3 linked regions of the Stegostoma tigrinum genome follow. The protein of the gene in region 1 interacts with the protein of each later gene in a pairwise test. Links are inferred from orthologs where the notes say so. Each region holds a gene or a part of one and is shown on either strand. Other genes may lie near its edges.

Region 1 (7,450 bases):
CCACTGTACATGGTGTTCATTTGTCTCAACAAGACATGTGACCATATGAGCAGTGGCAGACTATTCAAGCCACTAGGGAATAATGGCTGCCCAGCAAAACTGCTCACTGACACCTCCTCTTTCCAAGATGTCAGGTCAGCTATATTGGCATATCAGACGCCTACGAGATCTGCAGTGAGGATAAGCAGGGTCATATTCTGGCACATTCTTCCCTTCACTGCTGATATTTAGCTTCATGTCATCTACAGCTAAATACCAAAACTGGCAGAAAGCTGTTTGTCCTTACTTTGAATCTCAGATAAGCATTCTATACTGAGCAACACCTTCAGTGGTAAATAGATAGACTCTCAAACTTGTAGTGTAACATGGACATCAGTATTGGGAAAACAAATGTCACGGTCTGGGATACCATTATTTACCAGCAACAGAAAAGTAACTTTGGATGTTAGGTAACAAGGTGTGGGGGTGGATGAACACAGCAGGGCAAGCAACATCCTAGGAGCACAAGAGCTGATGTTTCGGGCCTAGACCCTTCTTCAGAAAAGCCTTTTAATCAGAAAAAAGGGTTTTTCTGATTAAGGGTCTAGGCCCGAAACATCAGCTTTCGTGCTCCTAGGATGTTGCTTGCCCTGCTGTGCTCATTCAGCCCCACACTTTTATCTTGGATTCTCCAGTATCTGCAGTTCCCATTATCTCTGACTTTGGATGTGGTTGACAGCTTCACATTCAACATCACCCTAATGCTGAAAATTAAAACACCAGTTACAAAAGCTGAAACTGTTACTTCCAAGCAAAGTAAGAGTGCGGAATAATTTCAGCCTCAGAATACTGATCAAGGCTCCCAAGCATGCATCCTAATAACATAGCTCTGCAGTGTTCAGACACGGACAATATATGCTAGACAGGAGTAAAGGGTGAACAGTTTCCACTTTAACTGTCTCAGGCATATCATCAGCACGTCTTGACAAGAAAAGGTCATAAACTCAGGAGGTACCATGCCAATGCTGGCCCACAGTCCACAAGTGAATTAAAAAATTCCATCAGCATACACTCAGTGCTAAACTAAATGGTGTCAGCACAAACTTGGTCACATGAATCAGATAGATAATGGCCATATATCCAAAGACATTCACTGTACTGAAGTCGGCTCTGGGTTAACCCTCCGGGATGCCCATACTTCCTCTACAATGACATCTGAAAACATGTCAAAGGTGGTCAAACATATGCTAACAGACACTAACAACTGGGAGACAGGCGCTGATAGCCCTGACCTCGACAGGCAGGCTGCTTGGAACAGGTGAACAGAAACAAAACAATAGCTTTGGGGAAAGGAGGGGTTGCGAGGAAGAGGTGATGAAATAGGCCAAAAAAGAATCTTGATTCAAAATATCAACAGTTTCCCTCATTATAGATGCGGCCAGAACCCAGTTTCTCTAATTTTTCAGATTTTAGGTTGAGCTCCTTCTCAGCCTATTGTCTCCCTCTCCAGCAACTGAAGAAAAAAAAATCATGGACAGTGAAGCACCTACATACCACCAAGCAATATTTAAAAGTTAATCATCATGCACGACCAATCATTTTACTCTCCTGGGTACCTTTCTTTGACTGAGGTTCCACCCATTTTTCATAGGTGAATGGAATAAAAAAAGAAATTGCTGGCAAAACTCAGCAGGTCTGGCAGTACCTGTGGGGAGAAAGCAGAGTCAACATTGTGGCTGGTGACTCATCAGAACTCCCCAGGACAAAGTACACAACCCCAAAGATGCTTTCAGAACTGAGTTTCGCCTGCAATTTCAGTTTGTGATTCAGGTCTCCAGCATCTACTGTTCTTTGTCTTAATTTTAATGCAGCACGTGAATTGGGTTTTCCCAGTGTCAATAACAAATAGAACACATGCTAACATATTAGCTCTGTACGTGTGATATTACTGTGTGCAAACTGATGTTAAACTACTCTTGTGCAGGAAACGTGACAATGGGACTTCATTAGCTCCTTAGGAATGCTTAGAAATCACAACAGACGAAAAAGGAACCTCCTTTCACAATTGTGAACTTAGGTTGTCCAGGAGAACGAGACAAATTCCAGAATACAAACTTTATTTCTTGATAAAGGGGTTCCAGAATCCGATCAAAAACGTCTGTACAGAAGCCATATATTCCTTTCCAAGAGCCTCACACCCAGTTGACACCAGTAACAGGCCCTTCGTTCTGCCAAATAATAGAGAAGCACAATGCGCACGCGCAGTCTGCAGCAGCGCCGCAGCAACGCGCACGGCGAAGACGGGAGGGGCGTGTCTGAACACATCGACCCCCCGCCAACTCTTTTGAATGAACTCTCCTCACCATCACCGACTTCAAACCTTTGATTTTCTTGTTTTTATTTAACACAAAGAAAACTGAAAACGTCCGAATTTCTCCCTCACACAAACACCAAAATAAACTGACTCTTGCACAAGGAGAGCGCTTCGCCTTCGCCCGGCTCGCGCCCGCCCCCCCACCAACGCGCACGCGCCCAACCGCTGCTTCTCGACGAGAGCGCGCTCCGACAGGGCGTGATGGTGGCAGTAACAAACGCCGGCCGCCAAATACCGGCGGGGCTAGCACAGCCGGCGCGTCTCCGAGACAACCGAGTAATTAACACCTTCGGGGAAAAAAATAATCTGTCAACCGAACTCCCTCCTTCCCCCCCCCGCCTTCTCCCAGCCCTCAGCTCGAGAAAGGGTCACTCAGACAGCTCCCCACCCAGCTCTAGCGCAGAGGCGGCCGTTGCTAATGTTTGTTGAACCGTCTCCTAAACAATGATCCCGAGAAGAGGCGCTCAAAAAAAAAATCCGTTCCCCACTTCCACTAACCGTCGCTCCGTTTGATTTCGACGTAAATCCCGATTTGGACTTTTCCAAAATTGACAGCCATACTTCGTCCGCTAACATTCGTCGCACGATATCACAGTTGATTGGAAATGTATTTAACCGTTGACGTTTTCTTTCCCACCCTTTCAAGTTTGCTGACACTTCCTCTATTCCCTCTCCACAATTACCGGGCAGCGAGAGTAGCGCCAGCACTACTGCGCATGCCCAATCACCTCCCCTCAGTCAGCTCCTCATCAATATAAAGGCAAAGTGGATCTTTCTCCTTAATCTTGGGATTTTAATGCTACGCCGACAAAAACCGGCTATTGTTGTCGTTTCCAAGATAACCCTCTTTTTGAAAAGTATGTATCCCGCAGGGGTATAATAAGGATCAAGAGAGATGCTCCAGTTGCTCGAAACAGAACCAACACAAAGGAAGATGGTGTTTGTTAGAAGTGGATGAATCACACAAAAAAAAACCTTCACGTGCTGGTAGAACAATTCATTTATGCACTCAGTCCAGATGTTTAAAAACATCTACTAAATCTCAAGTTGAGGCCTAACCATCTTTTATCCATGCTTTATCATAATTTGCTTGTTTTGTCCTCAATGCCCTATTTATAAAGTCTAGAATTCTGTACATTCAACCACTTTTTCCTACTCTCCTTGACACCTGACATTATTTGTGCATGTATACCTGGGTGTGGTAGCACCATGGTTAGCCCTGCTGCCTCACAGAGCCAGGAACCTGGGTTCAAATCCACCCGTGGGTGACCACTGAGTTTGCATATTCTCCCTATGTCTGCATGGGTTTCCTCTGGGTGCTCTGGTTTCCTCCTACAGTCCACAGATGTGGCAGGCTAGGTGGATTGGCCATGCTAAATTGCCTATAGTGTTCATGGATTTGTACATGAGGTGGATCATAGGGAGCTAGATTTGGGTGGGATCCCCTGAGGTTCAGTGTGGACTTATTGGGCTAAAGGGCCTGTTTCCACATTGTAGGGATTCTATGATCAGGGTTCTTCTGCCCTGGCACCCTCTTCAGAATTCTATATTTTATTGTTATATTGACTGTCAACGTTCTTCCTTTTAAAATCACTTCATCACATCTCTGAATTAAATTTTACGTGCCCCTTTTCCAAACATTGTATCATCCTGCCTAAGTCCATTCATGTCAGATGACCCAGAGACCATTTTTGGAAAACCAGATATGACCTCTGCAAAGCCACCAGGGATGACAAGAGGGAGTACCAGACAAAGTTAGAGGCCCAAAGCTACCAAACAGACTCCTGTCCCCATGGGAAGGCCTAAATAACATTATGGGATACAAAATTCAGCAAAGCAAGATAGCGGCCAAAGACACAATTGTTCTTTACATGCTCGATGCTTTCTAAGCTTAGTTTGAGCAGAATGCCAGCGGCACAATGACACCTGTTCCCTCCATCGCTGCTGCAGATTTCAGGTCAGTCTTCCTGAGAGTCAACCCAAAGAAAGCAACAGACCCAGATGGTGTCCTTGGCCAAGCAGTCAGATCCTGTAAGGACAACTGGTGAGGTATTCACTGACATCTTCAACCTCTCCCTCCTATAAGCTGAACACTCCACCTGCTTCAAGAAGACCACCATCATCCCCATACCTAAGAAAGCGCATGCAATGTGCCTTAATGATTACCACCCAGTGGCTCTGACCTCGGTAATCATGAATTACTTCAAGAAGTTGGTCATGTCCTACATCAACTCCAGGTCATGACAATCAATCTTGAAGCTTATTGCCATCATTCTCACAATTCACACAATTTCCAAATTTTGTGTAATTTACAAATTTTGAAATTGCTCTTTGCTTACGAAGCCTCGGTCATTAATATAGATAAAGAAAAGCAGTGCACATCAGACTCTCAGCCTGTCTCAATCCCCTACAGTTTGCTTATTGACATAACAGGTCCACAACTGGATTCTCAGTTGTCTGACCCACAAACTGCAGTCAGTGAAGATAAGTAACTCACCTCCTTCACAATAACACTCAACACTGCCCCTAAGGATGAGTCCTCAGCCCTCTACTGTACTTCCTGTACACTCTCGTCTGTGTTGCTAAATTCCGAATGAATGCCATCTACAAGATGGATGACAATACCACTGCAGTTAAGATGGATATCCAACAACAACGTGGTGCAATGAGAACAACTCTCTCAATGTTGGCAAAACTAAAGAACCGATCATCGACTTCAGAAAGAAAGGAGGGGAACACATCCCCATCTACATAAATGGAACTGAGGTTAGAACGTCAGGGAAAGTGTAAAGTTCCTCAGAGTGACGATAACTGACAAGCTGTTGTGAACTTCCCACATAGATGCCACAGTCAAGAAGGCACAACAACACCTCATCTTCCTCAGGCAGCTCAGGCAATTTGGCATGTCCATAACGACCCTCAGCAACTTCTACAGATGCACAATTGAAAGCATACTGTCAGGTGTCTAACGGCCTGGTATGGCAACTGCTGTGCCCAGGACCGTAACAAATTAAGGAAGTGGTGTGCACTGCCCAGACCATCACAGAAGCCAAACTTCTACCAGTGGACTCCATTTATAGTTCGCTGCCCCGGAAAGGTTGCCCACATCAAGAAAGACCCATCAATATCCCATCAGTGATCTCTTCCATCAAGCAGAAGGTATAGAATCCTAAATACATTCACCAGCAGGTTCAGAAACAACTTTTCCCCAGCCATTATTAGACTGTTGAACACACTCTATAGCCTCAAATAATGCTGATCTTCCTAATGTTGATCTCACTTGATGCATACCCCGTGCAATGTAACTTGTATGCCTCTAACTAAGTCTTTTTACAACCTCTAATCTGTACATCCTTGCTTAACATGCTGTACTGTTCGTAAACAAAGCTTTCATTGTACTTTGATACACATGACAATCAATCTTGAAGCTTATTGCCATCATCCTCACAATTCACACAATTTCCAAATTTTGTGTAATTTACAAATTTTGAAATTGGTCTTTGCTTACGAAGCCTCGGTCATTAATATAGATAAAGAAAAGCAGTGCACTTAAAATGAACTCCTGGACAACATCACAAGATAGCACTTCCAGTCTGAAAAAATAACCATTGGCCAGTTTTAGAGATAATAGGAACTGCAGATGCTGGAGAATCTGAGATAACAAAGTGTGGAGCTGGATGAACACAGCAGGCCAAGCAGCATCTCAGGAGCAGGAAAGCAGACGTTTCGGGCTTAGACCCTTCTACTGCTGTTGCTTTTACTCCATTGCCCAAACTTTACTGCCAAGTCTGTTATGTGGCGTTTCTTCACATGTTTTTTGGAAGTCCAAATGCTCATCGACAGCATTGCAGTCATCAACCTTCACTGATACTTAATCAAAAACCTCAAATTTAGACAGGGATTAGCTGTGCAACCTTTTTAAAGCAAAATTATAACAGATGCAATTCTCCAGGGCTCTGGCCCCATTCCTGCACCTAAGGAGGAATGGAAGATTAATGTTAGTGATTCTACAAATTCTACCCTTACTTCTCTGGATGCATCTCATTCAGCCCCAGTAACATTGTTTTAACCACAACCAGGGCTGATTAAACCATTAATAAGGTTAGACACGAGGTCGGTGACTATGATATGCTATAATCACAATATATGAGAATTTGTGAAATTTCTTCCTGACAATCATATCTATGGTAATGGTAATTGTTTGAGGCTTGGTATACTTTGACTCAGAGATGTTGAGTTGGAGTTGCAGATATGGAAGAACTTTAGGAAGGAGGAAATTTACATAGATATTTTTCTTCTCAGAAGGCAGTTAAAGTCAGGAACAGGATTTCATTACTACAATGCTCACAGCATACACTAGCACGTTATAGACCAGGACTTCTATCAGCTTTTAATCACAAAAATACCTTTCCCCCAAACTGCTCCCTTTTCTTTCTTCATGTTCACAGTCTAAAAATTACCGTTCAGTTTGCAGTGCATCTGTCCCTTTGAAGTTATTTTCTTTAAGATTGATTTGACACCTTTCAGCTATGATCTTCCATGATTTACTTCAAGGCTGAGGATACTCCACACAGCCCATTTCAATCTACCAGAGCCTTATTATCACAAATTACATTGCTCAGAACTTACAGCCATTTTATTTGACTGCATGTCCTCTTAAAAAAAACAAACATGTAATTAACAGTTCAGTATGCCACTAGCTGATCCATAGTTACTACCCATCATCATGCAGAAATAGTAACAGTCATGTTTTGCTCATGTTGAGGTTGTACAGGACATGGATGAGGCCTCTTCTGAAGTACTGTGTGCATTTCCAGTCACCCTGAAATAGGAAGGATAATATTCAATTGGAGAGGGTTCAGAAAAGATTTACCAGAATCTTGCAGGAATGGAGAGTTTGAGTAATTAAAATAGGTTGGATAGGCTAGGACTTTTTTCACTGTAGCCTGGGAAGTTGGGAGGTAATCTTATAGAAGTCAATAAAGTCATGAGGTGCATAGATGAGGTAAATTCAAGGCTCTTTCCCTTAGAGTGAGGGAGTTCAAAACTAGGGGGCATATTTTTAAGGTGACAGGAGTAAGTTTTAAGAACGACATA
Region 2 (7,607 bases), about 91 Mb from region 1:
TAGAACACGTGGTAGACCGAAATTTGATCAGAAACGGTGGGGGGCGGGGGGAGAGAGAACGGGCGTCATTCAAACTGCGCTGTAATACTAGATGTGCTTTCGTCAGCAAAATCGGCCACTAGTTTCAGAGGGAATAGCTGCAAAAGAATTGGGATAGATGGATCGGAGAGAAATCTAACAAATTCATATTTTTCTAAATTAAAAAATGAACACAGTCTGTTGGAAACAGACATTATTCACAGAAAAAAAACAAAGTTTTAAACCACAGGTAGGATTATGGGTACAGCAACTTGGATTTTTATCGTCGACTTGGTGATATCACTTTAACAGTAGGAAGATCAAAACTGTTGACTTTCTAAATTTATAATTTAAGTTAGCAAAGCATAGGTCCTAATTATCATGTATACAGTTGCGTCAAACTCAAATTTGATCAAGTTCCCTGGAATAAACATGCAGTTAGCCAATTACGTCCTTCCTCCAACAACTACACAAAAAACGCCGATGTTACCAAAGGTTATTTAATTTAAAATAATAATCTTGCTTAATTTTATTTCAGAGTGCGTGTAAACAAACCACACCTTTCAGATTTGCTTAATCTGACGCCCTTTTATGTAAATAAAATGGATGAATGACACTTACGAAAATGGCAACAGCACGAAAACATGGACTGTCTACAGATTTTTTAAAAAAACACTCATTTTAGAAGATCTGGCTCCAAAAAGAATCAAAATGATGGGCCACTTGCTGCACCAGACCTAAAGATACAACAATCCAAGCATTTTTTTAAGATAGCACATCAGATCAAGTGATTGTTAAACGCTCGTTTTAAAATGAAAACGTACCACTTAAAATCACAACTTTGCGATAAGTAACATACTACAGGTGATTACAGAAGTAAAGGTCGTCGCTACTTGACCATCACATTTGCAGCTTTCCTTCAAGAGAACTCAATCATACTTGAAAAATACAAATCCCGAGCACAAACCTGTCTCCTGGTTGTTGACATTCACGCTGTTATTCGTGACCATGTTTTTCTTCTTGGTCCATGGGTTGATTTTAGGAGGAGGTGCTTCAGTGAATTTTTTCTGCAATTTCTCCGCCGAATCCCTCTGGCTTCGATCGTTTTCCTTATTCTCAGCGTCAGTCGCCACCTCCAGCGGGCCGCTCCGCTGTTCGGACTGGTCTCGGCCTCCGGGCTGTAGCTCTAACCTCCCCAATAGATCGTTGTCCGCTTCCTCGTCTCCACCAGAAGCCGAGGACAACGTGGAGCAGTCACGGGTCGTCTCCTCTTCAAAGCCACCGCCGTTACTGCTATCGGATGGCTGAAGGGAAGTACCGTGATCTGCAGCCTGAGGCAGAGACGATTCAACTTCGGTGGTCATCATGCGCGGCACGGTTAGGCCGGTGCCCAAATTCACCGCTCTTCCTTCGGCCTTCCACTAATAATTTGCTTTAAAATAGTCACGATTTACTGTTAAATTAAAATATAAGATGGGCAATTACAAAGGCGTTACCTCACTTTAAAAATCTGCCATTGATAGTAAAAGCATAAAGGCAATAAGTGATTCTCCCCCACACCTGAACAAGAGCAAAGTTAAGGAGATTTAAAAATGGATGGGGTGAAAACGAAAGAAACACCTGAAAAGGGGAATAAAACACAGCCGGACCAGCGTGTAAGCAAACAGCTGTTCTAAATATTACTTGAAGGCAGGGAGATTGCAGAATATGTATTCTAAGGTAATAAATATACATGTTATTTAGGTCTTGACGTTAATAACGACCATGCGTTCTGTTGCTCACCTCCCCTCAGGCTGCTTGTTAGGAGACTAGGGTGTTGGGGCGGGGGGAGGAGAAGGAAGTGAAGAGTCTGATCAGCTGGTTAAGCTTTCACCAGATCTCGGCCACCACGTGCGAATAAGTGCTGCGCCTCACACCGAAGTAGGCCCTGTCTTAGGAACACCCAGCCGGGCCAGGGATCTCATCCTCTCCCTGGGGCCTGGGGAACACGCCACCGGCCCGGTACCCCCCTAGCCGCTTCCACCAGGGCTGGAAGAACACTTCGCCGGCCCCGAGGCCCCATCTTCTCCCTTGGGGCCTGAGGCACATTCCGCCAGCCCCCATCCTCTCCGCGGGGCCTGGGCGTCAGTCCGCGGCCCAGAGGCCCCCATCCTCTCCCCGGGATTGTCTCGCTATACACCATTGTTACGCCACCCAGCTTGTTACTGTGGAAACAGGCCTTGTTTATTGTTTGTTTCCCCAGATCCCACAGAAATTTATTTCTCAAATTATCCCCAAAATACGTGAGAAATTTGAATCCGGGGATTCCATAACGGTCATTTAGGGGAACGCGGCTGCCACAGGTCAATTCAATGCCATACATCAAAATGAAGAGTCATGTCCACCTCCTCATCTTACCTTCGGTCAGGACCTAAAAATATACTCTCTCTCTCAGGCAAATCGTGTATTTTTAAGGAAAAAAACTCCAGAGGGAAAACGTGTTTTCTCTTTTAGGTTGAATGTCTCAGCGAAATTTCTTATTCGGGGGCACAGGGAGGAGAGAATTAGAAAACGAAGTCCTGCGGGGAATTCCAGATTGCGAAAAGCAGCTGCGAGCGAATTGAAAGCAGGGACCGGGAGAGGACGACCCAGCGTCACCACCAGCACAATATGGTGGACTTCAAAAATAAAGGACGAGCGGCACCCCTTCGGAACTCGAGCGTTGCAACAAACGTGGTTCCACGCCGCCGCCGCCTCTTCTACTCCACAACCACAACCCCCCCCCTTCCCTTCCCTTCCCTTTCCTTTCCCTTCCCCTTCCGAGACCACCCAAGGCGGAGCTGTCTCTCCTTCTTCTCTCCCGTCTTCAATCCGAGGAGGGCTCCGATTCTTCTTCGTTTAACTACACACCTCCACTTCAACTCCTGCACCCCCTAGACCGCTGCCATTTTCTTAAGTTGACACATGCTTTGCTCCCACCATGTTAATCGACAGCTAGATGCTAGCGCTGCGCCTGCGCACTGCCCGCTTCTTTTTTTCCGTCCTCGGTCGTTCCGAAGATAGAGGGGGTGGGGCGACAGGGGTAGGTGTGAATGGGCTAACGCATGCGCCGTTCCACTTTCTCCATCCCCCTCCCTACGCCAACAAAATAGGTGGTGGCCGACATTTCTCCTTCCTTTCAAATCACGCCGCCGGAAATGTGTGTGCACTTTGCAGCGAGCTTTACCGAGCAGCAAGCCACATGCGCAATCCAATCACTGGTGCGTTGGCAGTGAGCGTTACTTGGTTTCCCAGACCCCATGCAAAAGTAATAACGCCCGGTCTCATCGGTCTTTCAGAAAAATGCTAATTCAAGTGGTTTTGTTTGTGCTGTGGGCTATGCTGGCTTCCTGCAGCAAAGCTGGGCCCACGAGTAAAAGGAAATCAAAAACTGTTTGTTTCGTCTGGAAGATACATACTCAGCCCATCTTATGGGCTCAGTAATTAAGTCTTGTTGAATAGAATTTAAACATAGAGCTGTACTGGTGAAGTGGTAGTGTCCCAATTTCGGGTTCAAATCCCACTCGTTCCATGAAGATATAACATCCATGCGTAAGTTGATGAAAGTACCTACAATTTTAAACGTGGATATCTGTTGGTGCAATGCACTGGACTATTAGTCACGGGTTCAAGTCCCACGTGCTCCAGAAATGTGTAATTACGTATCCGATCAGTTTGATCTACAACATTTTAAGCATGCCAACACACTTAAACTGCGAGAAAATTTCTTAAATAGAATAGATTTTGTGAAAATAAACACTTTACTGAAAAATACACATTTTATCAAAGCATTGCGTCATGCACTAATCGGTATATCGATTAGAATTCAAACGTAAAAGGGATCAATTTCTATACCAACTGAGGCAAGTGGAGTCTGATCGGTACAGCTAATAAACCAGTTGTCTCTTGTTGAGAGACAAGCGCAGTGTGTGACATGGTCTTTCGGTCTGCAAATGGGGACACTGTGCGTTAATATATGTACCTTTCAGTGCAGACAAGTGTGCCATGCTATGAGCAGAAATGACTAAATTACATTGGTTATCATCATATTTTCTAGCACACTCGAGGTTTACTAAGCAAGTATTGCATAAATACTTTGTTTGCTAAGAACAGATGAAAGGACATGTTATTTGATACCATCTCCTAGTTTTTGGGATGTATAACCTAAATATTTAGCATCAGACCAATACTGAAATTCACTTACCAAATTATTTATCTGTCTGATCGGCAGAATATCTTGTTGGCTACATTCATCAGGGCAATGTCTTGATAAAAAGTCAACCTGCACGTTTTAAATTTACACAAATTGTGGCAGTTAAATGTCAGTTATTGTCTAATGGATACATTCTCCATGGCAATGTCCTCATTAATTGGAATCCAGTTGCTAGTCAATTGGAATTCACTTTTATACAGTATAAAATGTTGCTTCCCTCTAACATAACTCTTAACAGTTCTACGAAATAATGTGTCACTCTGTTTAGGGTTAATTAGGAATGGCCTATAAATACAGGCATTGCATAACCAGTGACAGTTTTTGATGAAGTTATGATGGATCTGTATATATTAGTCAGGCCACAGCTGGGGTACTGTGTGCAGTTCTCATCGTCACACTGCACAAAGAATGTAATTGCACTAGAAATGATGCAGAAAAGATTCACCAGGATATTGCCTGGGCTATAGAAATTCCACTATATAAGAAATCAGTTAGGCTGACGTTGTTTTCCTTGGAACGGACAAGGCTGAGCGGGTGTCTGATTGAGGTATACAAAGTTCTGAGGGGAGAAACATAGTTCATATGGAGAAAAACAGTTCCTCTTAATAGAGGAATCAATAACCAATGAGCACAGTGTTAAAGTAAGAAGGAAGAGGTTTAGAGGTGATTTTAAGGGAAAAAGTTCACTGAGAGGCTTGTGAGTATCTGCAACTCTGCCTGAAGGGATGGTGGGGAACACCTCACAACATTTCAGAACTACTTAGATAAGCATTTTAATCATTCTAATGGGATTAGAACAGATGGATATTTGATGATTGGCAGACATGATGGATTTAAAGGTCTCTCGTAGTAACAACTCTGACTATGACAATGGCTCTCCATGATCTAAATTCCATGAGCAACTAAAAACAAAACTTCTTTCCAATTCAGTGCTTGCATAACCCACTGTATTAATACTTTGATTAATTTGTAACCACCACTTTACCATTGGTAGTTTGGAAGGCCTATGAGGGATATTGAGATTTCAGAGGCTACCACAATAGTGAGTGAGGCTTAAACAATGAACAAAAACAAAGTTGCTGGAAAAGCTCAGCAGGTCTGGCAGTATCTGTGAAGGAAAAAAGAGTTAACGTTTTCGGTCCAGTGACCCTTTCTCAAAACCAGACCCAAAACATTAACTCTATTTTTTTCCTTCACAGATGCTGCCAGATCTCCCGAACTTTTCCAGTAACTTTGTTTTTGTTCCTCATATATAGCATCTGCAGCTCTTTCGGTTTTTATTGAGTGAGGTTTACTTTGATTTAAAAACTGCATATCTCATGATAGATTCTGAAACATTGACACATCTAAAATTTTACAACAGTTTGCAGTCAATTGTGCTTGTCCTGTTCACAGGGCAAACCTAAGTGTGGAGTTTCCCATGAATTTGTGGAGGGCAACAGAATATGTGACATAAATGATTATAGCTTTGAATTGCATGATGTACAATATGCTGAAATCGCTTCAATTTTGACAATCATGTGAAATGAGAGAAAAAAAACATTTTCATACAGCCAGTGGTCTGGGTTTGGAATGCAATGCCTGGAAGTCCATTCAAAGCAGGTTCAACTGAGATATTCAAGAGGGCACAGATGACCACTTAAATAGAGGCAATGTGTAAGACTATGGGGAAAAAGAGGTTCACCATTAAGTCTAAATGCTCAGAAAGCAATGGCTGACTCATTCGGTAAATGGCTTCTGTGACCATAGTAACAATTTTATGATATATTTTTGATCAAGCTGGGAGTCAACAGTCCTAAAGTCTAATTTCTTCATTTAGTGCAGATATATAACATTAGCGTGAGGTAGACTGATGCATTTTTCATGGGTCTTGTGGTGTAGTGGTAGTATCTTTACCTTTGAAAGAGGAGGCCTAGGTTAAAGTCCCACCTGAGTTTATAATAATATCTCTGAAGAGGATGGTTTGAAAATATCTGATGTTCTACCTTTCTCCAGGCTGTCATTTCCACTGTCTGGTCATTTCCTTTACCGACTGCTTTTTCCAGGCTACTTGACTGCGTTTTTTCCTGGCACTCTGGTCAGCAGCAAAGACTTCACATGCTTCATGCTGATCCCTTGGGATTTTGATCATTTGGGATCATTGGATTGTAGACATAGGTCGCCTGTTGTTCTCATGCCAATAGTACACTCATCATTGACCATGTCTTTGGAAATGTAGCTGTCACCCATGCAGTGCATGTGAACAAACCAAGAGGTGCCACTGACTCCTGACAGCAAACACGCTCTATATTATTGTATTTTAGTAATCTGTCCTAACGGGTGATGCTTAATACTCATATTAGGTAGCAGAGGTAGAATCTGTCTAAGTTGTCTATGCGTTGCTACTGTAAAGAAGGGTGTTGAGACACAAGCCAGGATTATGTGGAGCTTTGTATTCTTGGTTAGTTTGCCCCACACTCTCATTCTCAATTTTGACATGACAATTGCAGCTTTGGCAAACCTACTTCTGATTATGAGATCAAGGGACATATTTCTGATAATGGGTGATCAAAGGGATGTTAAGCTGTGGATGGCTTCCAGAATGAGATTGTTGATATTGATGGAAGGGTAAATCACTAAGCCCTGGCTTACAACTTTGATGCTTACTGCCAATCCAAATTCCTTGTTGGCCAAAAAGCACTGATATACAGGCTGCTGCAAGTAAGCTTCAGTATGGGCTGTCAGTGCCATATCGTAAGGAACCAGCATTACATACCTGACAAGCACCACTTCTCACACTTGAAGTGCTGTATAAATGCAAATTAACACATGATTCCTCCAACTGTTTTTTTGTGCATAAGCAATCTTTGAAGTACAATCAGATTTTCAGTTTTTTAAAATGTATTCTGCAGATGTTGGCTGGGACAGTGTTTATGCCCATCCTTAGCTGTCTTCAAGAAGATGGTCTTGAGCTGCCTTTTTGAACTACTGAGTCAAATTTGTGTAGGTGAACACACAATGCTATTAGGGAGTTCAAGGATTTTGACAGTGAAGGAAGAGCGATATAGTCCAAGCCTGAACTTTCAGGTTGCAGCGTTCCTGTGTAGCTGCTCCCTTCCCCTTCTAGACGGCAGTAGTGAAAAGTTTGGAATTTACTGTCCAAGAATTTTGGTGAATTTCTACAGTGCATTTCGTAGACAGTAAATACTGCTGCTGCTGTGTGTTGGTGGTGGAGGGATTGGATGTTTTGGATGTGGAGGCAATCAAATGGGCCGCTTTGTTATTAGTTATTCAAGCTTCTTGAATGTTGTTAGAGATACACTCTCTCAGGCAAGTGGGATTATTCTAGGACACTCCTGTGCCTTGTAGATAGTGGACA
Region 3 (7,996 bases), on another chromosome or scaffold:
CTTGAAATGGAATTGGGTGAACATTTTGCAGGCCAATCTCTTTCAGGTACGTTGGACGTCGAGCGATGTTAAAATGTACCTTGGGCTCAATTTCCCTTCCACCACCCGCTTAGAGAGCTAGACTCTTGTCTACTAAGAATCACACTAGTCGGTCCTCCTGCACTGCCCACGGCAGCTCTGCTTCACTTGACATGCTCATTTGAATATGCTAATTAGCACCTCAATATGAACAGGATCCCAACACCCTGTTGAAGCCGGCAGCTCAAACGTTGACAGCAGGCATCGAGCTATTTAACCAGTGACTCAAGGGACTGCTGTGGGTGAGTCGCTTTGTTTCTTTTCTTTAAAAGCTTTTATTGCAGCTCCTTTTGTTCGCAAAAATCTCTCAACCCCGCACAATGCACCTTCATGCCTTGCTATGCTTCCCTGGTCCGCTCTGTTTTTACCAACCCTTCTACTCCTGACAATTATCTTCCCAGTGGACAATGAGGAGCATTAGGAAGGCCTGTTAAACCGTGAAAAATCTAAAATAACTCCATTTCAAAAAGCCGCACTGAAATTTTAAAATCTCACCTGCATCTGTGCAAACAAAAAAAAAGGTTCAAACCCTGTGGTGGTACATGATCAACCGAGTCACATCTCTATTTATTACCATTCACGACTCTTCTCTGGACTAAACAGAGAATCTCCGCTGTGTCCCCAGTCCTATATCACAGATACTGGGTCCCCTTTACATTAACATTCGGTAGCTTCAGTCACTGCACGTTGACACCATTCTATTCACGCTGGGATAACTCACATACACCTGACACTTGATTTCACACAATTTACGTCAGGATATGCTCCTGCTACTTGGCTGTTCTGGATCATTTACAACGTCATACACACTGCATTGACCTCCTTTTATGTGCTTAGCTTCCCAACCTGTCTGGGTAATGAGTGATACGGTTGACTGCGGTCTTGCAATTGTTCAGAGCTTTGTTTTTGGATTTCATCTTCATCAGAATGAAACACACCTCAAACCCTCTACTACCTGATGGAGGTCTCTAGTCAAAAGTTAATTGCTTCAGATTCAGAAATATTGCTTTAGGCTTATAATAAAGAGCATCTTGTGATTTTATTACCATCCAAACCAGCAGTCCAAAGAGCATTTAATAGCTGTATTTCCATGTAAACAGCACATGACCACACAGGAGTCAGCAAATATTAAGTGCTTGATCTATAAACATCTAAAGTATAAGTCTGCAATGAGATAACTACCCCTCAAAAAATCCAGCTTTTGAATGGATCCATTGCCCTTCGGACTAGTTCCCAGCTGAGCTTATGCGTCACTGTTAAACCAGGTCCTCATGAATTTATAGTGAAATCAGTTATTTTCGTAATCCTGTGCCAATACACCTGCAAATTCAATTACAGCCTGCATTGTTCAAACAAAATCTCTTGAAAGAACGTGACACATTCAAAATCTGACTTTCAACCCGTGAGCTTTTAAAGAACCAATATCACCGCTAACTCCATGACACGGAGGCTGTCATCCAGTTCCAACAAATGCTTCCAACTCGTTTCTAAATGGGTCAAGTGTCGTTCATGCATTGGGACTACTCTGTGGCTATGTAGTGGACAGGAACGATTGACGTGCGTGGCTTGAGCACTCAAAAGCTGAGCAAAACGGTGATATCAGCCCTTTCAAACTCAAGAACACAACCCAATTATGAACGAAAATGAAAATCTGGTTTGTACGCGAAAGAAACAAATTGTGACCGGCTCCTGCTCATGACCAAGTATTACTGAACTAATCCACACCGTGTCTGTAGAGTGTAAGTGAGGGTACAATATAAATAAGGTACCCCCCCCCCCCATACACACACACACACACACACACGCTGCGGTTATTAAGGGAGACAAGCAGTAATGTGACTGGGTTAAAAGGGCAGGTTTCCGAGTTTCAAATGGTAGTGTGTAACGACAGAAGGTACTCACCGTCACTATCCTGCCGGTGCATTAATTTGAAATCAATAATTGGGGCAGCGCGCTCTGATAAAACAAAACAACGTATCAAATAAAACAAAACTGGAACGGAAGGACAGACATTCATTGTCGTAAAGGAAACTCAACATCCACTTCAATGATTTTAAAAAAGCACAACAAAACTGAATTTAAAACAAGATAACAAAATGATTGACACCCTGGATTTGTAAGACAGCAGTTTTGCTAAAGCACGTGAAATGAATTTTAAGGCGTCCATTTGGACAGCAAAGCACAGGACACTTTCTGCATCCAACAATAAGACATTAAATCTTTTAACAGTCTGCTGTAAATGCATTAAGTATCTTACCCCCACTGCTTCCTTCATCAGCAGCCCCGTTCCGATTGATTTGAGGGGGTTGCTCCTTGCCTCTTTGTGTCCCAGGACTTTCCTCGGGGCTCGGTAAAAACGACGAGCACAGGTCAATGTCAAAGCTCTGCAGCTTCATCAAGGAGTTCTGCAAACAAAAGCAGAACATGATGCCATGAAATGCTGCTAGCACGGACGCCAGGCCTGCCCAAGGCTGGCGAGTGGGGGGGGGGGGTGCGGGGGCAAAGAGATGCGGTTCCACCCTGAAGCACTCGGGTGAAGGGCCACTTCCAGTTTAAAACCATCTACTCGCGAGGACTGACATGCTGCTGGCGCTCTGCAGCTCAAACACCTTTAACCAGCACAATCGTGAGTCAAGCCAGCAGCGGGGAACACTCATTCCGTCAGCAGTCTGTGTGCTTGTCAGCCAGCCAATCTGACAAAGCATTGAAATTATAGTCTCATGAATACCCTGCTGCATCTGTACAATAGTTTCATCGAGCCTGCTGACATCATCTCTGCTGACAATTGGCCCCTCCCAGTGCAGTCCATTCATAAAATCCCGGAAAGGATAGTAAAGATTGAGCCAGGCAATCCATCAGTCTACATTTGCAGCAGCTGTCTTCCTCCTGGGGAGGAATATTGATTTTTGTTTCGCATTCGCCAGCGTGGGTTTAAATCAGTTGCAAACTAAAAGTCAGCAGAATGTATTTTTAATCCATTCAGATAGAGGTGAAGCCTTCTCTCTCTCTCTCTTCCCCCCGTATTCTTTGGGCAGAGTTCTGTAATAAACGTGTTGTTCATTTTCAACATCAACGAGCCCAGTTCAGCAGAAAGGCTCCGGGCAGCATGACTGCGATAAAAGGAGCCGTTACCAGCATCTCTCGCTTGTATCCACTGTTGACCCTCGGTCGCTGGACCTACATGCGCAGTTACACGCACGTAAATATGCTCGCCTGCACGTCTTGTCAGCAGCAAACCGGCCAATTCCAGCCTGAATGAGGCTCAACTTGCAGCTTCCTCATATACTCATCATTTGATCCTCACTACATTTTTTTTAAAAAGTCCCCCTCAAAAAAAAGCAAGCATACTGGTCAGTAGGAACATTATTTACAAGGATGAAAAAGACAAATTAAACAACTTCTGTCACTCAGGTTTAATGCATTTTCCGTAACTTTTCAACAACTTGCCTTTGTACAATATCATGACTTTGAAAACCCAGGCACACAGGAACACTGAACAAGGGACCGGGGCAAATAACTTGGTTAAAGATGTAGGTTTTGAGGAGAATCTGAAAGATCACTGATAAATGATATGACATTGAAGGTTTGTAATCTTGCCCTCAAAAGGATTGGGAGGCAAGAAACAGGCTTGACCAACAGGACACTGTTTAATACAGGCAGAAGAAGAGGGTGCTGATTGGTCATTGCCTTGGAAACAATCAAAAACAGTTAACTGCCAAACTTTTTCTCAGGCCAGAGATAGCAACAACTGCAGGTGCCGGACAATCTGAGATAACAAGGTATAGAGCTGGATGAACACAGCAGGCCAAGCAACATCAGAGGAGCAGGAAGGCTGACGTTTCAGGCCTGGACCCTTCTTCAGAAAATGGGTCTTTCTGAAGAAGGGTCTAGGTCCAAAACGTCAGCCTTCCTGCTCCTCTGATGCTGCTTGGCCTGCTGTGTTCATCCAGCTCCACACCTTGTTATCTCAGATTCTCAGGCCAGTCAGGTAGAATCTGATTGGTTGGGTGCTACAACTGGGGATGCTTCACTTGTTTCTAATCAGAGATAGTAAGAACAGCCGATGCTGGAGTCTGAGATAACAAGGTGTGGAGCTGGATGAACACAGCAGGCCATAGAGCATCAGAGGAGCAGGAAGGTTTGACGTTTCGGGCCTAGATCCTTCCTCAAAAATGGGGAGGGGAGCTCAGAAATAAGCAGAGAGAGGAGGGGTGGGGCTGGGAAAGGTGGCTGGGATGGTGATAGGTGAATGCAGGTAGGGAGTGGTGGGGATTGATCAGTGAGCGAGATGGGAGGAGTGGGTACGTGGGAGAGAAGATGGACAAGTTGTGTCAGGTCAAGGAGGCGGGATGAGAGGGAGGGTTGGACGTGAGATGAGGCAGGGGTTGGGGAGATTTTAAAACCAGTGAACTCCATGTTTAGGCCATCGGGCTGTTGGCTCCCGAGGCGGAATATGATGAGACGTTCCTCCGGTTTGCGGGTGATGTCATTGTGACACTGGAGGAGGCCCAGAATGGACATGCCACCCCAGGACTGGGAGGGGAAGTTGAAGTGGTTCATGAATGGAAGGTCTTGTCGTTTCTCATAAACAGAGCGTAGGTGCTCTACAAAGCGGTCTCTGAGCCTCTGCTTGGTCTCACCAATGTAGAGGAGACCACACTGGGAGCTGCGGATGCAGTAAATCACATTGACGAATGTGCAGCTGAACACCTGCCTGATGTGAAAGGTTTTGGATCTTAACAGGAGGTGAGGGGAGAGGTGTAGGGGCAGGTGTAGCACTTCCTGCGGTTGCAGGGAAAGGTGCCGGGGTGGTGGGGCTAATGGGGAGTGTGGAGTGGATGAGGGAGTCACAGAGAGAGCGGTCCCTACAAAACACAGATGGGGGTTGGAAGGGAAATATATCTTTAGTTGTGGGGTCAGACTGTAAGTATCCAACCCTCCCTCTCATCCCCACCTCCTTGACCAGTGCATCTTCTCTCCCACCTATCTGCCATTCCCACCTCACTCACTGACCAATCCCTACCACTCCCTACCTGCACTCACCTATCACCTTCCCAACTACCTTGGCTAGCCCCATCCCTCCTCTCTCTCCTTATTTCTGAGCTCCCTTCCCCCACCCCCATTTCTGAAGAAGGGCCCCAACCCGAAATGTTGACTTTCCTGTTCCTCTGATGCTGCCTGGCCTGCTGTGTTCATCCAGCTCCACACTTGTTTCTATGAGTCCAGTTTTGAAGAAGGTGCAAGGTATGGCCAAAGTCCTTTTGCCTATATCAAACAAGGTCCTGTACATATAACTTCCGACACTTGTAAATGCATCACACTGACGATTTTAAATTGGTTTCCAGTGCAACTATTAGCATAGTCAAGATTATTCAGTAAAGTAATTCCAGTCGCAACATCACTTCTAATGGTGGACATGATTTTCTGTGTGTCGTAAGAACAGACTGATTAAGCACATTTTGCATGGTGTCCACTGTGAATGGTCAATGAGGTGTGTGTTTAATTTGACCCACCAGTTATTGGATACAAAGCCCACATACCTAACACAGCACCAACACTGAAACTCACATCACGTTAGTTATTTGTGTGGTAAGCTTAACAACCTTTTGGCTTGACAGCAGCATTGTGTTAGTGGGTACGTGTGTTTCCTGATGTCAATAGTTATCAAGATTTTGCAGAGGGAGGAGTGGAAAAGTGATACTGGAGAGCTGTTTCCAGTATTCTGCATGTTGGAATGTTAAGAGTTTTTAGGAACTTACGAGATAAGGTAAAGGACAGAGATGGAGCAAACTCTTGAGAAGGGACAATCTAACAAAGTGTTTCCAAGATTGACTGCAGGAATGAAGAATTTCAGTGATGAGGATAGACTGAAGAATTTAGAACCCTTCTCCTCGGAAAGAAGAAGGCTGAGAGGTGATCTGATAGAGGTTTTCGAAACCATGTGCAGGCTGACAAAATAGGTAGGGAGAAGCTGTTCCCAACAGTAAGAGGAAGAGGTATGAGAGAAAATGGATTTAAAATGATGTGCAAAGGTGATGTGAGAAAGAACGTTTTCACTCAGTGAGTAGTTTCTTTCTGGAATGCACTGCCTGGAAGTTTGGTGGAGGCAGGTTCAATTGAGACAGTGCAGAGGGAATTGGATGAGTATTTCGATCGAAATACTGTGCAAGGGTATGAAACAGCAGGAGCTTGTAATGATGTAATAATGATCATTTGAAGAGGTGGTACAGGCACGATGGGCTGAATGGCATCCTGCTCCTCCATAATTCTGAGGAGTAGCCTCTAGCGTGCATTACAGACACCCGATGCCCTGAACCTCATTGTAGGTAGAATCCATGAGGGTAGAATAATGCAGGCTTGAGTCCATGGGATCAGAACAGCCCATGGAGACAGTAGCCAGAGCACAAATCCAGGTGGCAGTGATGTTTGCACCAATGCAACCCTGTCAGAATTCTGTGCTCTTCCCGATTCTTGCCTCTTTCATATCTTTGATATCTTTTGCATGTATTCAGCCATCCACGCCACGAATTCTCACCTCCTCTTAACTGGAGGCGGCTCAGAAAAGATTTACAACTGGAAGGTTAAAAGGAGAGGCTATGACTTTTTTGCTTGGAGCATAGAGGCTGAGGGGTGACCTTGTAAAAGTTCATAGAATTGTGACGGTCACAGATAAGGTGAATGGCCAAGGTCTTTTCCTGAGAGTAGGGGAATCCAAAGCAAAAGGGCATAGTTTTTCAGTGGGAGAGAAGAGATTTAAAGGGGACTGGAGGAGCAACTTTTCCACACAGAGGGTGGTGCATGGATCTAACTTAAATGCCACAGTAAGTGGGAGAGTTAAGTACAATTACAATATTTAAAAGACATTTTGACAGGTATACGGATAGGAAAGGTTTAGAGGGATATTGGCCAAACACAGGCACATAGGTTTAGAAAACCAATTTATTTAGCAACATACCATACAAATAAGCCAATGATGTTTGGACTATATCACTACCTCCTGGCAATCAAGATATTCACCAATGTCATGAAATTAACAACTCACATTAATGTGTTCAGTTTTAATGACACTATGTACTTTCAAATCGATGGCATTACCACATGACACTGTCTAGATCCTGCCCGAGTTTGCATCTTTGTTGGGCACCATGACAAAATACCTTTGCTGGAAAGAGCACTGACTTTCTACTCCCTGGCATTGTGACAGATTTGCAATACGCAAATCTGTAACTGCATCAAAGAATTTCTTTACACGGCATAATAGGATCCAACTTGTGCTCAAATTTACCATTGCACTGGAGCAATCAAATGAGGTCCCTTTCCTTGATGCATTAGCTGAGAAGTCTGACAATGGATTCTTAACCAGTACTTATCAAAATCCTACACTCGCTGATCAATATACACATTGCAATTACTAATGTCTGACATGCTACGAGATCAATATTACTGACAATATTGTGAATAGGACCTAGGCATCTGATCACTGTGTGAGCTTAATAATAAGTTAGGACATATCTAAACCATCCTGCATGGTAACAGATAACCTGATCAAATCACTACTTATTGTCAATCACAAAACTCATCGAAGGGCCTATGTCTTCCACTTCTGAGTGGGGCCCAGGGTCCCTCAGATTACCCTGGAAGGGGAATCCCAATAATTTAAATAATGGTTGAAAGTAACTGTCTCTCATTGCTATTATGAACCATCAGATATATCTTTCTATCATTAACATTCATTCCCATGATTTGGCAGATTGTGGGAGGTGGGGGGCTTGGTGTTGGTGTTTACAGGGAGAGAGACTGTTAGGCTTACAATATTAGAGTCTTCTTCATGTTGCATTGATTGATTTCTCTTGTAGTCCCCCAAATGACATTTTTTAAAAAAAAACTGTTACTATAAGAGTTGAGGAATAGCCAGAGG

The links.
Region 2: the proteins of kif2a (region 1) and la-related protein 1B-like interact in binary tests that used the Homo sapiens proteins (3 or more experiments, as listed by UniProt). The two-hybrid records come from large-scale screens. The link is inferred for Stegostoma tigrinum from reciprocal best matches to the Homo sapiens genes KIF2A and LARP1B.
Region 3: the proteins of kif2a (region 1) and fam13c interact in binary tests that used the Homo sapiens proteins (3 or more experiments, as listed by UniProt). The two-hybrid records come from large-scale screens. The link is inferred for Stegostoma tigrinum from reciprocal best matches to the Homo sapiens genes KIF2A and FAM13C.

What each region holds. Positions count from the first base shown.
Region 1 is NC_081354.1:120,260,544-120,267,993, forward strand, and holds the start of kif2a (kinesin-like protein KIF2A), read right to left. Parts: upstream 3,059-7,450; 5' UTR 2,913-3,058; coding exon 2,852-2,912; intron 1-2,851. UniProt on the Homo sapiens protein: Plus end-directed microtubule-dependent motor required for normal brain development. May regulate microtubule dynamics during axonal growth. Required for normal progression through mitosis. Required for normal congress of chromosomes at the metaphase plate.
Region 2 is NC_081354.1:29,669,875-29,677,481, forward strand, and holds the start of la-related protein 1B-like, read right to left. Parts: upstream 3,055-7,607; 5' UTR 2,908-3,054; intron 2,763-2,907; exon of another isoform or gene 2,416-2,762; intron 2,399-2,415; exon of another isoform or gene 1,801-2,398; intron 1,472-1,800; 5' UTR 1,386-1,471; coding exon 986-1,385; intron 1-985.
Region 3 is NC_081373.1:50,601,943-50,609,938, forward strand, and holds the start of fam13c (protein FAM13C), read right to left. Parts: upstream 3,086-7,996; 5' UTR 2,892-3,085; coding exon 2,688-2,891; exon of another isoform or gene 2,505-2,687; coding exon of another isoform or gene 2,484-2,504; coding exon 2,336-2,483; intron 2,035-2,335; coding exon 1,981-2,034; intron 1-1,980.